2 linked regions of the Bombyx mori genome follow. The protein of the gene in region 1 interacts with the protein of each later gene in a biochemical or structural test. Links are inferred from orthologs where the notes say so. Each region holds a gene or a part of one and is shown on either strand. Other genes may lie near its edges.

Region 1 (7,956 bases):
GATCCTCTGAAAACGAAAGATTGACATTCGATAAATACAAGACTATACAACTATTTCGTCCAATGCATGAACATTATATGGAACTCTTTCTGTCAGCTTTAAGCTTGAAGAGAACTTGGTTGTTCTTCTATCTGATTATGGGCTCTGTAACTATAGGGGCTTTATGGGGAATTAAGAGTTCGATTCTAGAGGGGACTGAGAAATGGTTATCATATCCCAGGAGGTGAGCAAGTGCATATCGGCGGGAGAAAGGGAAATGTCGTCACTTGCATTTTGGGCTAAACGACTTTGTACCTTATCATATAACACATATGGCTCTAGTACAAAATTGGTCTTTTCAAGTTACAACAATTCCGCTTTCTTCCTTCGATATGTATATAATGATATCGAGTACTTCAGAGTGAAGTTTGAAGTCGTCGTGGCCTAAAGGATAAGACGTCCGGTGCATTCGTGTTGAGCGATACACCGGTGTTCGAATTCCAGGCGGGTAGCAATTTTTCTAATGAAATACGTACTCAACAAATGTTCACAATTGACTTCCACGGTTAAGGCATAACATCGTGTAATAAAAATCAAACCCGCAAAATTATAATTTGCGTAATTACTGGTGGTATGACCTCTTGTGAGTCCGCACGGGTAGGTACCACCACCCTGCCTATTTCTGCCGTGAAGCAGTAATGCGTTTCGGTTTGAAGGGTGGGGCAGCCGTTATAACTATACTCGAGACCTTAGAACTTACATCTCAAGATAGGGTGGTGATACCTACCCGTGCGGACTCACAAGAGGTCCTACCACCAGTAAATAGATAAAAGACTTAATTGCGTGTTCTGTTATATGTATAATAAGATAAGAGCATTTAAAAGTCTTGATCTCTTTTAAAATCAATATTAAAAATTAAACAGTATTAATAAGCTATACAAAATTTTTAAGTCCTCCCTTTTTACTTAATCACAGACTTCACTCCATAACAATGGATGTCAATGAAGAAAACTCATTTTTAAAAACTATAGAGTTTTAAATAAGAAAGGTTTTTCTTCATATATGTATAGTAAGTAATACACGGCACAAGACACTACTGCATTTTAACCCTGAAGATCCCAATCATTGTAATAAGACAATTTTATTAAATTACTAGCTTTTGCACGCGACTCCGTTCGCGTGGAATAGTTACTTTGGCATATCACTAAATTTTACCCCCACTTCATTTACGTAGAAAGTGAAAATATTTTTGAATTATAGAATGTTAAGGAGCTATAAGCCCCTATTTTGAAACATTCTTTATTGGTGCTCCACTTGTATCGGCCTTACCGTGATGTTATGTAGCCTATAACCTTCCTCAATAAATGCGTTATGTAACACTGAAAGATTTTTTCAAATCAGACCAGTAGTTCCTGAGATTAACGCGTTCAAACAAACAAACTCTTCAGCTTGATAATATTAGTACAGATTGTATTATCATTGGTCCTTGATAAGTGTGTGATGTTTTAATTAAATTGGATACTTTAAAATCGGTGAATATCACATAAAAAATATATCATATACATACTATGGTATGCCAATTAAAGTGTGTCAAAATAAGCCGCAGATTTAATGTTGATAATAATCTGATTGATTAATTAGGTACTTGTTTGCCTTGTTTGGCTTCAGCTACAACATTCCTTTCATGAAATCCTCAACTTAACGACCTTTTTCCTCCCAAATTCTATTCACTTTTTTTTTAAGATAGGCATTATCCATCCTACATAAACCTAAGCCATTCTGCTGACAAATTTCTGTGGCAAGGGATCTCTCAAGGGTGGATCAGCCATTACAACTGAGGCTTGGAAGATGTCTCAATGTGAGTGGTTGAAATTATTGTTTTTTTTTATTGCTTAGATGGGTGGACGAACTCACAGCCCACCTGGTGTTAAGTGGTTACTGGAGCCCATAGACATCTACAACGTAAAATGCGCCACCCACCTTGAGATATAAGTTCTAAGGTCTCAAGTATAGTTATAACGGCTGCCCTACCCTTCAAACCGAAACGCATTACTGCTTCACGGCAGAAATAGGCAGGGCGGTGGTACCTACCCGCGCGGACTCACAAGAGGTCCTACCACCAGTAAAAATTGTGTATGTGGTTTATTATTTGTTGTTCGTATTCACGGGATATTTTCATTCCGAATATACAAAAGACAAACACTCCATTTCAACAATACATATTATTATACTTAATGTGTACAATATTAAAACATAAACCAAAAGTAAAGTAAGCAACGCTAGGCACTGGAAGATACGAATTAAAATTAAAATTACGTTTTTACATTCAACTTAAATCGACGCGCGCGCGAATCTTGCTGCATGACGTCACGGGACACCTGCGCGTTCAGGAGCTCCGATCGCGTCCGATGACGCCCGAGTGCGACCGAATGTTGCACGCTACATATATGAAGCAGTGTTTCCACAACGAGGGGACATTCCCCATTTGAGGGGAAATTAGGGTCCATAGGAGGAGAAAAAGAGAAGACATCAAAAGGGGAAATTGCGGGAAATCATGGGTAAAATCTAAAATCGATAAAGACCTTTTTTTAGTTACTACACTAGGGCCAAAAGTAAAAACTACAGCAGAAACATTTTTGAGGAGAAAAAGCCCTGAGAAGGGGAAATTTGAATTGAGGTGTGGGGAAAGAAAATCATTAAAGTGGAAACACTGATATGAAGTCCACTAGCCACTTGAAGCTAGATGGAACCTGGCGCACTAATTGACGTACCTGGCACTCCACTGAAACTGCCTAGGATAGCTGCCATGTTGCTCTCAAACTGAGCAGCTGCTTCTTTGATAAATTCCTCGCCCCACATGTTCTGCATTGCTTCGCCACCATCAGGAGTGGTATCGTTTGGCTTATCATCTTTCTTCTTTGTCATATCCTGAAGTGCACCTGGAATAAATTTACACCCTGAGTGACAGTTTTTTAGTATGACTTTCTGTGACTATTAATCTATTGAGGCCAGGTTGGTTAGAGTGATATTTTGTTAGTTATATTTTCTAGATTATGAAAATACCGAAAAACTAATAATATGTAGCAGTTTTATCTTTTAGATATATGTAAATCTAATTTTTAAAATAAAAATTTAAATGTTAAGAGTATAACCAAAAATGAATCAGGTAAAAGATACACTGACAGAAGAACAACTCCTCCCTATGGCATGCCACAATAGATATGTCACTTGAGTAAATAACCCATAGAGTTGACAACAGGCCGGTGTTGTAAAACTCACACCAAAATCCTATGCAGCATGATAGGAGGATATGTGCCAGTCTCCATTACATGGGTTGAAGGCAAGCGGAAGACAGTTTGATAGAGTGGTAGGTTAGGTTTTTTTTTCATTGCTTAGCGGGTGGACAAGCTCACAGCCCACCTGGCCACCTGGCCCTTCATGGCAGATATAGGCGGGGTGGTGATACCTACCCATGCGGATGATGATCATCATTATCAAATTAGGAAATATCATGAATCATGATATTTCCTAATTTTAGAGGATGAAGAGAAGATAGTAAAGTGAGAGCAGCGTGCAATGACCATGAGGTCCAGTAATCAAGTGTACTCATCTTAAGCAGTACAAAACAGCAATAAGCTAGCTATTAATAAAATTTAACAAAAAAATTGTCATTTGATGAATAAATGAAAACTAATGATAGTGTTAATTAATTATGCTCAACATTATTTTATCTTGATTACGTCTAATCAACATTGCTAAACGCAATAAGAAAAAATACGGAACCTTTTTTTTTGAGTTTGAGGATTTATCGTCAGTTTTACATTTTAAAATTAAAAACTTTCATACGCGATTACTTAAATAGAATAAAGAAATATTAAAGATGTTGATAACTGACAAAGAAGACATTAACAGAGAAAACAAACAAAATTAGCATGCACTTAGACCGTAGGTTATTGTGTAATGGAAAATCAACACGATGAAATGTAATCAAGATTTAACAACTTACTGTTCAATAAATCGTCTAATTCAGGATCTTGATCGTTTTTGGATGCGTTCTTATTGTCAGACATGTTTAATCGGTAATAATTAAAATAAATTCAATAGAAAATTGGTTCAGAAAAATTTTCACGTTGAGTGACAAATTTGACAATAGAAATTTCAAAGGTTGAAATGAGCATGAATTTTGAGTGATCGAACTAGCTCATAGATTATACACTTATGAACTATAGCTAATGAATGGGTTTTTTCCCTGTGAAAAGACAATAAAGGCGTTTTGAAAAGGTTTCGGCACTAAGAAACAGATCGATTTTAAGTGAATTTACTACAAAATCTTCGCTGACCAGTAGAAATGAAATACAATTTTAATAAAAAAATATGTATTTTACTCTATACATGAAAATAAAATTAATGAATATCGATGATTAAATTTCGATAAAACGGTGCATTTCCAATAGACATTGCAAAAGCAAAACGTTTGACTCATTCATTTGTTTGTTGTCTTTCTATCATACGTAATGACTATAAGACAAAAAGAGACAAAAAATATTTCTAAGATTATTTCGTTGACCTTGAAGCATGGAGTTAATAAGTACCTACAACAGTAACTCTATGCCTTGAAGTCATATGACTTCACTGAAGGTAACTAATTTAAGCGGGAATTTTAAAACCCGAACCATGAGTTTCTTAGGTTACATTAAAAAATCTATAATATTTAAAATATTGTTTGATTGTAATACATAATTCTATTTTCATTTTTTTTTGCTTTTGTTGTCTTGGAATACTTACCCTAAGCTTTTCGGTATTTCGATCTCTCATTCGAAATAAAATAAATGGAAATGAGACAAATATTTAACAAACTGGCTTGAATAAAAAAAAAACTTAGTTCGAAAAGTGACATATGTTTTGAAACTTCAAAGCCATTCAAATCGGCCATGGTATACGAAATGTGGTAGTTTCATAAAAAAATAAATAAAAAGTGACAAAAAAATCGCAAAAACGTTGTTTAATCACAAAAAACAAGGAATATCAAGATAATTACAAATTTACGTATGCTCTTGAAAAAGTCGTGATTTTTACGAAAATGTCCAATAAAAAATCTCAGTAAGTTACAAAATATTTAAGTAGTCAACTCAAGGGACCGGTAGTTGGCACTTGGTTAATTTTTTCCAATTTTGTTTTTTTTAAAACGGAATAGCACACGGTGAAGTGTTATGTAGCCGATAAATGAAACAAAATAGAGCTCGCAAAATTTACACATTTGTACAATTACTACTGGTAGAAGCTTCTTGTCCATGTATGTGCACGTGGTTAGGTACCAAATCCACCGTATTTCGGCAGCGAAGCGAAGCGACCATTTTGTTGTTACAAAATTTGTTTAAACAATGCAACTCAGATTTTGACTTTGGGTTTCAAGGTTCCAAGATGGCATTCATCTTGTTCTATAAGCTCTGGTCATTTAACAATGGGCCGTGAGCTCTTCCATCATTCTAGTCCAACAAAAAACCTCAAATACTGGCAAACATCTACGAAAACAGGATACTTAAAACTTCTTATTTTTAAATTCACCTCCCACCAGGGCGCCAGCAGGTGGAGACGCTCCTCCACCAGTCGACAGAAAGAAGGACGATAAGAAAAAGGGAAAGGAAGAACCGCCAGAGCCGGAAGAAATACCGAAGACACCATCGCAAATCGATAGAGAGTAAGGTTTTTTTTTTAAAGTTTAGAAATGAAAAGGTTAGAAGTAAAGAGAACCATCTCAGTGTATTAAAAAGTGTCCGCTGAAAAGGAGCCAATTGCGGTGCGCCACAGTAGCAAGTGGAAGGATTTTAAAAACAGCGCCTTAAACTACCACACTTCATTTCAACCCAGCAAACTTTACTCTGTTTAAAACTGCTATATTCATATCATTTCCACTTCGTACACTAGCGCTATTTCGGTGAGTCTTCCAACAATAATTTGCTGTGTACTGGCGGACCCTTTTTCAACTTGTCCCTTAAATAAGATAGTACCTCTATCTATCATCCACAGTACCAACAAAGCGATCACCAACTAAATATCGACGTATGGTCAAGAAGGGAGATAATAATTGTCATATCTCAATGTTTTTTTTTTCTGCTTAATTATTGCGGGGCTATTCCAACTAGGCGCGGTGCGGGAGTTTTTTTTTACTGAATGATAAGTACCTCGCTGTAAAAGAGACAATGTTTTTGTTGCTCCGAATTTTGCTTTCAACTGTGGTTTGGTCGTCTTCCTTTGCGATGCGGCTTAGTAAGACCTAGAATTTGGTTTAGTGTAGGAAAGAGGTGATATTTTACCCTACCTATTCGCTGGTAGCCCAGCGGGCTATTCCAATTACGCCCGGACGGGTAAGGTGAGCTCACGGGCTCAACCTGAGAGAGGTTGCTAACACTACCTAGTAAGTACCTACCTAGTAACCCTAGTAAGAGCAGTGATTCGCAGAATCTACTACTGGAATCGCGACCCGCTGAAGTTAAGGGTGTCTCTAGTCCGTGTAGCATTCGTGTGCCATAATTACCCTAGCGCCCTCAAGCAAGCGCGCGGTTAATATGGAATAGGTAAGAATTTAAGGGGTTCTTTGAGAGTACGGAGGCCGGCATTCCCTAACAACGCTGCGCCCACACCCTGCACCATGGGTAAGCCGCCTCTGCTATAACAAAATAAAAAAGAATGCTCACCCGTCAATGTATAGCGTTTTGAAAGTTGGGCTCTATGAGCCTGACAAAAAGTCGTCGTGGCCTAAAGGATAAGACGTCCGATGCATTCGTATCTAGCGATACAACGGCGTTCGAATCCCGCTGGCGGGTACTAATTTTTCGAATGAAATACGTACTTTACAAATGTTCACGATTGACTTCCACGGTGAAGGAACATCGTGTAGTAAAAAGCAAACCCGCAAAATTATAATTTGCATAATTACTGGTGGTAAGACCTCTTGTGAGTCCGCACGGGTAGGTACCACCACCCCGCCTATTTCTGCCGTGAAGTAGTAATGCGTTTCGGTTTGAAGGGTGCGGTTAGGTTGTAGATGTTTATGGGCTCCAGTAGCCACTTAACAACCAGGTGGGCTGTGAGCTCGTCCACACATCTAAACGATAAAAAAAATAGCATCCAAGAATTTTGACGTAGACACATAACTACATTTCGTTTTCCATTGTTGCCTTTGTGTTTGTGGACCCATCCGCTTCGTGTCAGGGCTGAACGGGCTGGCGCACGTAAAAACCCAATAATGCTTATGACGCATGATTACAAAAACCTTGGTCGTGTTATTGTTGTGTTTTTTTAAAGTATCCATCATTTCGCAGCCTTGCTGTTACATCATCTGTGACCTAAAACCCGGTATGTTGTAAGCATGGAGTTAATAAGTACCTACAACTGGAGTGCTGTCTAATGCCGAGAAATCGGTCTCGAAAGAGAATACTTTTTGGTCGCGGTGTCCTTGTCTAATGTGGTGACCATATAAAATTTATTTATAGGACAAAATTATACGCATGCATCAGTTTTGAATTTACCTTAAGTAATTCTGTGTAGTCCTATGTAAATACAAAACACGTGCTTGCAACAGTTTATTTATGTAAATTCAATTTTAAACATTGCTTCGTCGTCATGGTGACTTTTTTTCGACGCTTTTTTTTGGAAATTGCTGCGATGTCGAAAATCTAGCACTGAGTTTTGTTACAAACATCATTACCTCAGTTCTATTACTTAAACTTCTTCAAACTCATGTTTAACGTCCGAATACTCAACCGCGACTTGAATATTATGTTGAACTTAATTACGCAATTCCTACTTTAATGTACTGGCTAAGTGGGCCGTGCAAATTAATATTTGACTCACTGAGTGAGACACAACACACATGGTCTGCGCGTATCGGGTGCTCTTTTCCTACATTCACATCTTCAATTGATTTAAAATTGCTTGTATTTTTACTTCTGTGCTATTTTCATGACACGTATATAT
Region 2 (8,176 bases), on another chromosome or scaffold:
AAGCCGTCGCAGCTCTGGCTAGCGCATCCCACTTCCGTCGCACTGGGCACTCATCGCTAAAAGCGTTGTGCTCGGCGTTTCCCACCTTAGCGGATGCGCAGTTTCTACATGTAGGGGCTGCACCGGCACACCACTCCGGGCACTCGGTCTTCTTGTGTGGACCTGCACAATGGCTGCATGTCTCTTTCTCTTCCCTGCAGAAGCGTCTGGTGTGACCGTACCCCAGACACTGGGAGCACTGAACCAGTGGAGATTTGTCCGACACATGAATCCTCTGCATGTCAATCTGGACCGTTCCTTTCTCCACAAGCCTGCCCCACAGCCTCGGGGAGACTTTTAGGACTATATGGTTTGTGATGGCGTTCCTTGATTTTCTTTTATATTTTACTACCATCCTGTCCTCATCTTCTGTCAGCCCCTCAAAGATCTTCTGGTTCTGCTTCCTCAGCGCCCCCACCACCTCTTCTTCTGTGTTGTAAGCAAGGACGTCCTTCAGAATAACCAGCGGATCCTTGTTTTTAATTTCTTCCGCTTGTAATAACCCTCCCGCTTTGTCCAGCCTATCTTTTACTTTCTTCCTGTCCGCTTCACTCCTACATCCTATAATCACTTTCCGGTCCCTGGCTTTCCGAACTCTATCTATCATCACTCCCCCCTCTTTGGCGTTTATGACTTCCCTTATTTTGTTTAAGACTTCCTCCCCTGACTCTTGTTCGTCACTGGAGGTGACTATGACCGAGTGCAACGTTTTCATTTCTTCAATGTTTCCCTTTTTTGGGCCCGCCGCTACACTCGCGTATGTTGCCCCTTCCAGCGTTTTCTTATGTTCAGTCAACATTCCTTTTAATTCTTCCATTTTTTCGTTATTTTCTTTGACTAGTCTTGTATGTTCTTCCATCCTTTTAGTCAGTTCATGGCAGTGTGTCGGGGAGGGGATGGGAGGGGTCAGGGGGTGTAAAGAGCCCGTCTCACCCGTCCCTACTCCTTTCTCCTCCTCTTTCTTTCCTCTTTTTTGATTTTCCAATTCTTTATCCAAAGTTTTGACTATTTGGTACAGTCTATCGATTGTATTCAAGACTCCGTCCTTTATGTCCGTCGCTGCCATTCCGGTGTGATTCAACCCTAACAGTACAGTATACATGCGTAGGTATATCAGTCTCTGATTCCCATAAGGAGTCCTAGTTTGGGCCTAGACGACTGTGTGTGACTTGTTCCCGGTTATTATTTTAATAGAAAAAATTGCTTACCAGTGGCATTGATCCGAAGAACTGGATTAACAGCCTCTTGAACTCCTTGTGGTTCATTGTGATAATTGACCTGTACAATGAATAATTTATTTTCTATCTGTAAGTATTAAAATTGTGAAACACTAAAATTACCAAAAAGGATATTTTTTGTGATTTTACAAAATTTCATGACAATAGGGTTAGCATAAAAGAATTTACTAAACATATTTTTATTGCCATGCTTATTGCCATTATTGTCGTCCCATACTCCTGGTGCCAGCGCGCTAGAGTGATGGTAGCGTGCGGCGCAGCCTCAACCCCTCAGTCGCCCCGTGACCATCACCTGGAGGACACTGCTTCCTCACAGGGGTCAGAACTGGACGAACGTCCTCCTCCGACCTCCGGCTCGGCGGCGGGGGCACGGCGCCGAGAAAGAAGAAGAGCTCTCCCTCCCTGGTTCCGCCGCCTCCTTCTGCGAGATGGTGAACTCGCAGAAGTCGAGCATCGCCTGCCAGGACTCATCGCTGCCGAGCATTGTAGCCACGACGTTCGGAAGCGACAAGTCCGGTCCTATTTTTGCAACGAGGACGCGGCGCTGCTCCGCGAAAACAGGGTAGTACGCGAGCGTGTGCGCCACCGTGACCTCGTTACAGCCACTGCAGCACTTTGGCGTCGGCTCCCTCCGGGCGACGAGGTGCGGGTAGCGACCGAAACAGACGTGTCCCGTAAGAATCTGCGTCGCTCGGAAGGTGAGACTTCCTTGGTCACCCAGTCCGAGAGGACAGGGCGGATCGCCTCGAGGGCCGTCGCCCGTAGGCAGGGTCCGCCAACAGCGAGACTACGCCTCGAGCACGGCACGAGATTACAGCTTCTGCGCTTGAACTTCTGCGATGCCGGGCCGCGTCTCCCCTCTGGAGCGGAGGCCGCATGGCCACGCGTAATCCGCAGCGAGCGCCTCCGCTTCCAGGTCATGCTAAGGGCTCAGTCAACATTCTGCTGACCATTGGGTTTATTTTCAAACAGCATTTGATATATAATATATGCTGATATTTAGTATTTAATGTAGCTGACATATAAAATAGATATCCTTGAAGTTATAATTTATTTTAAAATAAACCAAGAGTTTTGCATGCATTTCCATAAACTAGTCATGACTCATGAATTATTTATGTGAAAAGGAATCAAATCTCTTTTTAAATATACACACTAACCATTAAGCACCAAGAAGGTCAAAGTACATTAAATACTTGAAAATAATTTAAACCAGTCAACAAAAGCAACAATAATTAAAATTCTTTGTTTTACAGGGTTTTCAAGTTAATTTACATTATTTTTTGTTGTATTTACTTCAACTATACAGTTTAAAGTCTCAGTATAATGCATACTAATATAAAGCAGTAATTATCACCAAAGTACAACAAATCGTGATAAAACTAGATTTTTATTTAAAATTAATTCTAGGAATCTAGAGTGGATGAACTGCCTTATTGGAATTAAAATTATAAATACAGTGCAACCTAACAATACAATACATAACAAATCGGAAGGGAACAAGTGAATACTCGTTATATCAAGTAATTTGGTAAACTGAGGTTTGTTTGATTAGGGTTAGGTTGGTCTACCATTTGTTATAACGAGGTAAGTAAAAAAAATTTTTTATTCACCTCATCATTAAACTCATCTTGTTATAGCAAACAACTTCTACTAATAAATGAAAACACATTTTTATGAAATTACTATATATATTTTATATTTCAAAACAATTAGGTAGGTAACAATTTTTCTCAAACGCAATGAGACTGATTGACATAGTACTATGGGATTTAGGGTCATATTGGTGGGACCGTTATATAAAGTTTTTGGGTTGACAAAATTCATTAATTAGAGGTATTTACATCTTTTTTTTATAGTTGAAAATCTTTGAAAATTTAGTTGAATAAAGAGGTTGTTCGCAAGAAATCTTCGCAATGTGAAGGTATATTTTACATCAACTCTTATGGACAATTCAGCGGGTTAAGAAAAATTTGTTAAATCGAGGACATTATTATATTCAGGTTTGTTATATTAAGGTTGCACTGTACTTAGTTGTAAAGGAAGTTTGTCAAAAATGCTAGTCATATTCAGTGTTTATTTTAAAATGATTTAATTCATAATAATTAATAAGACTATAGTTTCAACTCACCCTTCAATCAAAGTAGTCTGCTGTATTAGCCACAGATCACACATGGATCTGGATATTAGAGAGATGGCTATCAACGACATGAAGGCACTTTCTTTGGTCCACCAGCCTGGCATCATAATCTTCCATAGTGTTTTAAATTCTGCTAAAAATCTAGCATCAACTTGTGCTTTTGGCCCCTTTTTGTCTTTTTCTTTGATCATGTACTGAATCTGCTCTTCGGGTGAAAGACGGCCGGGTTTGTCATATCTTGATTTTCTAAAAAATATTTATTAAGTTAATAAGTCAGTTAAGTTTTGTTTCCAAGCATGCTTTATATGAATTATAAACTCTTAAATATTCTACAACTGTGAGAATGTACTTGTTTTTATTCAAATAGTCCTAACATAATTTCCAAACATATGCCTGTTTTATTTTATGTGAATGAGGTATTTATAGATAAAAGGATGTTGTTTCTCAGTTTCTTTTTTCTTATTGCTTATTGGACAAGCTCGCACCCCATTGGGTGTTAAGTGGTTACCAGAGTTCATAGACATCTACAATGTCAATGCTGCACCAGTCTTAAGACGAGTTATAAGGTCGTTTTTGCAGTACAACAGCTGCACCACCCTTCAAACTGAAATGCATTACTGCTTCACAGCAGAAATAGGAAGGGTGGTGATACCTACCTGTGCAGTCTAACAAGATTTCCTACCATCAGTAAAAACACTGTGAAGCATTGCTCTTGTTAAGGCTAATGTTAGCTATTCTTTGAGGTTGACTCTGTCAACTCACTTGCTCAGAGTGTAACTGGAATAGCCTCATAGGCTCCTCATAGGCTCATACCAGTGATTAAGCAGGGGAAAAATCAATTACCTATAATAATTCTATCATATAATAAAACTGATACAGAGAGAGTATAACAATTAAATGCACACTGCTAACCAAGGTTTATTTTTTATTTTTCCTGTATCATCTCATAAATATACTCAAATTCTCTCTGTAATGCGGATTCTAGACCAGATGTATATTCAAGAATTGAATTATTTCAGAAAATACAAAGATCTATATTGTAAAGTTATTGTACTGACCACTCTATTGTATTATGACTATTGTAAAATTATTTGGGTGATAATAAGATATTAATAGATTTAAACATATTAGTAAACTTAGTCTTTTTACCACGTTTTAATTTTTATCTCACTTCTAGGTCAAATTCCAACTTTATCATGATTAGCGCAAAACGTTTTAATTGGTCAAAAGGAAATTCAACATATAAATCTGAAAATTTTACACGCTTAATTGGGACTCAGAGTTTCAGGTATAGTATAAACAACTAAAGCAATGGAAAATTGTTCAAGAGGCCAGTAAACTCACCTTGACTTAAAGGAGTTCCGGATAATCCAAGCACCAAGAGCTGCGGAGACAGCAATACCGACTTTAACGTCTGTCCGTTGCGTTAATTTACTTAAATTCGGTGCCATAATTATTAGTTAAATAAATACATTGATTAACACACAGCACAACATTAACTAAACTTTTATTCTTGAAAATGGAAAGACAACACACGCACTATGCAACAATCTAGCACATAAACTAAATCATATATTATGTGTATAATCTATGCTCCATATATAATGTCCTAAGTCCTAATGTCAACCTTAGCTTCTTGTACTTTATTTTTTGGCTCCGGCACAGTTTGTGCATTAGCCAGTGTCAAGTAATAAAATATTTAAAATTCGCCGTTTCAATTAATTACAGTTTATGAATAATAATAAAACGAAGGAAAGTAATCGCAACATAACATAAATGATTAAAAACGAATTAAATTTACAAATGAGATGATATGTGATGAAATATAATCTCAGTAAAATTATGGTTATTTATTAAGACATTATCAGTGTACTTTTTGGAGGATCCCGAGAAGTTACGTCCAGCGGCTTTGTTTCATTTTCCCACAATTATGCACTTTCACAGATTCTAAGCAGTTAATAAAGCACCGTTATTACACATTTAAACCTGAAGAAGCACTAAATAGACAAAATAAAACAATTCACACAACTTCACTCCTTGCGTTCCCGCCACTTGGTTAGATAAACAGCAACTTGGCTGTGTCCCTGGCGTTGCTGACGTCCATGAGCGGCGGTGACCATTCACCATTAGTTGGCCTAAAGGTCTAGATACCAGGCCATAAACTCCAATTTAAAAAAAAAAAAATCACCATTAGTGGGGCCTTATATTATCTGTCTACATTCGCAATAGAAAATCTCATTACTTCTATTTATTCAATTTATGTACGATTTAAGAGATGGCGTAATTTTTCATTTGTCCCAAGACGGCATTTAAACTAAGTTCGATTTTTAATAGGGAAGTCTATTGATTTTGAGAGGATGTGATTTTTAGTAAACGATTAGTTTATTATCTTTAATTTACCTATCGTATAAAGTTGCATTCGGCTCTATGTAACTACCCTTTGATATACAACTGTTTTGTGGCAAATAAATTATTTTCATTGTACAATTTAGAACTATTTTAATATACAAAATTATCAATAAAAAACAACTTCAAAAGTTAAAATCTATTTATTTTTTGTTGCAGTCCATGAACACAATGTTTGAAACTAAAAACATAACATAAATTCTAATATTTACAATTAACTTAAATCATTGACTAGGAACTTAAAGCATATAATACTGAAATCAGTCTGAACTTCATTCGTCATTTTAATATTTAATCAACTTCTTCAACCGTTGGCCCTGAACGATTGGGCTGTGAATACTGTTGACTACCCGTAGCGTGGATCTTGCTCATGACTGGTGAACAAACTTGCTGAAGATCCTTTAGTTTCTGCTGAAATTCATCTTTTTCAGCTAGCGTGTTATTGTCCAACCATCGCAGGGCGGCCTCGCAATCGTTTCTTACGCTCTCTTTGTCTTGTGCGCTCAGTTTGTCACCGGCATCATCAACGGCTTGTTTAACGTTGAAAATGTAAGTTTCCAATTGATTGCGTGCTGCTACCCTTTCTCTTTGTCGATCATCTTCTTCCTTATAGCGTTCGGCTTCTGCTACCATACGGTCGATTTCAGCTTGAGATAATCGTCCCTTATCATTTTTAATAACGATGTTTTTACTGCGGCCAGTGCCGTTTTCTTTAGCGGAGACATTTAAGATCCCGTTGGCGTCGATATCGAATGTCACGTCGATCTTTGGGACCCCCCGTGGTGCAGGTGGAATTCCAGTTAGATCGAAGCGACCCAACATATTGTTGTCCTTGGTCATGGCCCGTTCGCCCTCGTACACTTGTATTGTGACTGCTGGTTGGCTGTCAGAATATGTCGTGAATGTCTGTGATTGCTTGCATGGAATTTTAGCGTTGCGTTCAATGATCTTTGTCATTACACCACCGGCAGTTTCAATGCCCAAAGATAAGGGAGCGACGTCAACCAAAAGAACATCTTGAATTTTACTGTGTTGCTCTCCACTCAAAATTGCTGCTTGTACAGCAGCTCCGTATGCTACCGCTTCATCCGGATTGATTGAAAGATTTAGTTTCTTTCCACAGAAGAAGTTTTGTAACATGCTCTGTATTTTTGGAATGCGTGTCGATCCTCCAACGAGAACTACGTCGTGAATAGAGCTTTTATCTAGTTTCGCATCTTTCAGAGCTTTCTCGACAGGTTCCAGTGTTCCTCGGAACAGATCAGCATTTAATTCTTCAAAACGTGCACGAGATACTCTAGTGTAGAAATCAATGCCTTCGTACAAAGCATCTATTTCAATGGTAGCTTCCGTGCTCGATGATAATGTTCGTTTCGCCCGTTCAGCTGCAGTCCGAAGCCGGCGAAGAGCGCGAGGATTGCTGGTTATATCTCTCTTGTATTTCCGTTTAAACTCTTCAGCTAGGTGGTTCACCAATCTATTATCAAAATCTTCACCGCCTAGATGAGTATCGCCTGCAGTGGCTTTTACCTCAAATAATGAACCTTCATCAATGGTCAGTATGGAAACATCGAATGTTCCACCACCGAGGTCGAAAATAAGAACGTTTCGTTCGCCTTTTAAATTTTTATCCAATCCATAAGCGAGTGCTGCTGCTGTCGGTTCATTTATAATACGAAGCACATTCAGACCAGCGATAGCTCCAGCGTCTTTTGTGGCCTGACGCTGTGAATCGTTAAAATAAGCAGGAACGGTGATGACTGCATCTCGTATTGCTGTTCCAAGATATGCTTCAGCGGTCTCTCTCATTTTTATTAACACCATACTGCTGATTTCCTCAGGTGCAAAACGTTTTGTTTCGCCTTTGAATTCTATCTGGATTTTGGGCTTTCCACAATCACTTATCACTTTGAATGGCCAATGTTTCAGGTCTTGTTGTATCTTGGCATCATCAAACTTGCGACCGATTAGTCTTTTCGCATCGAACACCGTATTACTAGGGTTGAGTGCTACTTGATTTTTAGCAGCATCACCAATGAGTCTCTCTGTGTCCGTGAATGCAACATATGAGGGTGTAGTCCGGTTTCCTTGGTCGTTAGCGATGATCTCCACGTTTCCATGTTGCCAAACTCCAACACATGAATATGTAGTTCCAAGATCTATCCCTATAGCAGGCATATCTGTAGAATTCACTCAATGATCTCAAATTAATTTGTAGAAAAAATCACTTGTCTAAATTCTTCGGTGGTTACACCGTTTTACTTTTGCTCTCTCAGTTATGTTTTCAAGTACTGAATGTTTTCCCGCGCTCGCGGCATGCTTATATACTCTTACCAGCTAGCCAATCACGTTC

Evidence for each region.
Region 2: the proteins of peroxisomal biogenesis factor 19 (region 1) and ATP-binding cassette sub-family D member 3 form a complex in vitro, tested with the Homo sapiens proteins (4 studies listed by BioGRID and IntAct, with this or other methods). The link is inferred for Bombyx mori from reciprocal best matches to the Homo sapiens genes PEX19 and ABCD3.

What each region holds. Positions count from the first base shown.
Region 1 is NC_085129.1:20,646,985-20,654,940, reverse strand, and holds the start of peroxisomal biogenesis factor 19, read right to left. Parts: upstream 4,224-7,956; 5' UTR 4,050-4,223; coding exon 3,986-4,049; intron 2,919-3,985; coding exon 2,751-2,918; intron 7-2,750; coding exon 1-6. Other genes in the region: uncharacterized protein LOC101735788, read left to right, coding at 5,060-5,079, 5,555-5,677. UniProt on the Homo sapiens protein: Necessary for early peroxisomal biogenesis. Acts both as a cytosolic chaperone and as an import receptor for peroxisomal membrane proteins (PMPs).
Region 2 is NC_085128.1:3,706,932-3,715,107, forward strand, and holds the start of ATP-binding cassette sub-family D member 3, read right to left. Parts: upstream 5,030-8,176; 5' UTR 4,869-5,029; coding exon 4,762-4,868; intron 4,706-4,761; exon of another isoform or gene 4,595-4,705; intron 3,664-4,594; coding exon 3,409-3,663; intron 3,281-3,408; exon of another isoform or gene 3,137-3,280; intron 2,865-3,136; exon of another isoform or gene 2,603-2,864; intron 1,318-2,602; coding exon 1,248-1,317; intron 1-1,247. Other genes in the region: heat shock protein 68, read right to left, coding at 6,115-8,001. UniProt on the Homo sapiens protein: Broad substrate specificity ATP-dependent transporter of the ATP-binding cassette (ABC) family that catalyzes the transport of long-chain fatty acids (LCFA)-CoA, dicarboxylic acids-CoA, long-branched-chain fatty acids-CoA and bile acids from the cytosol to the peroxisome lumen for beta-oxydation.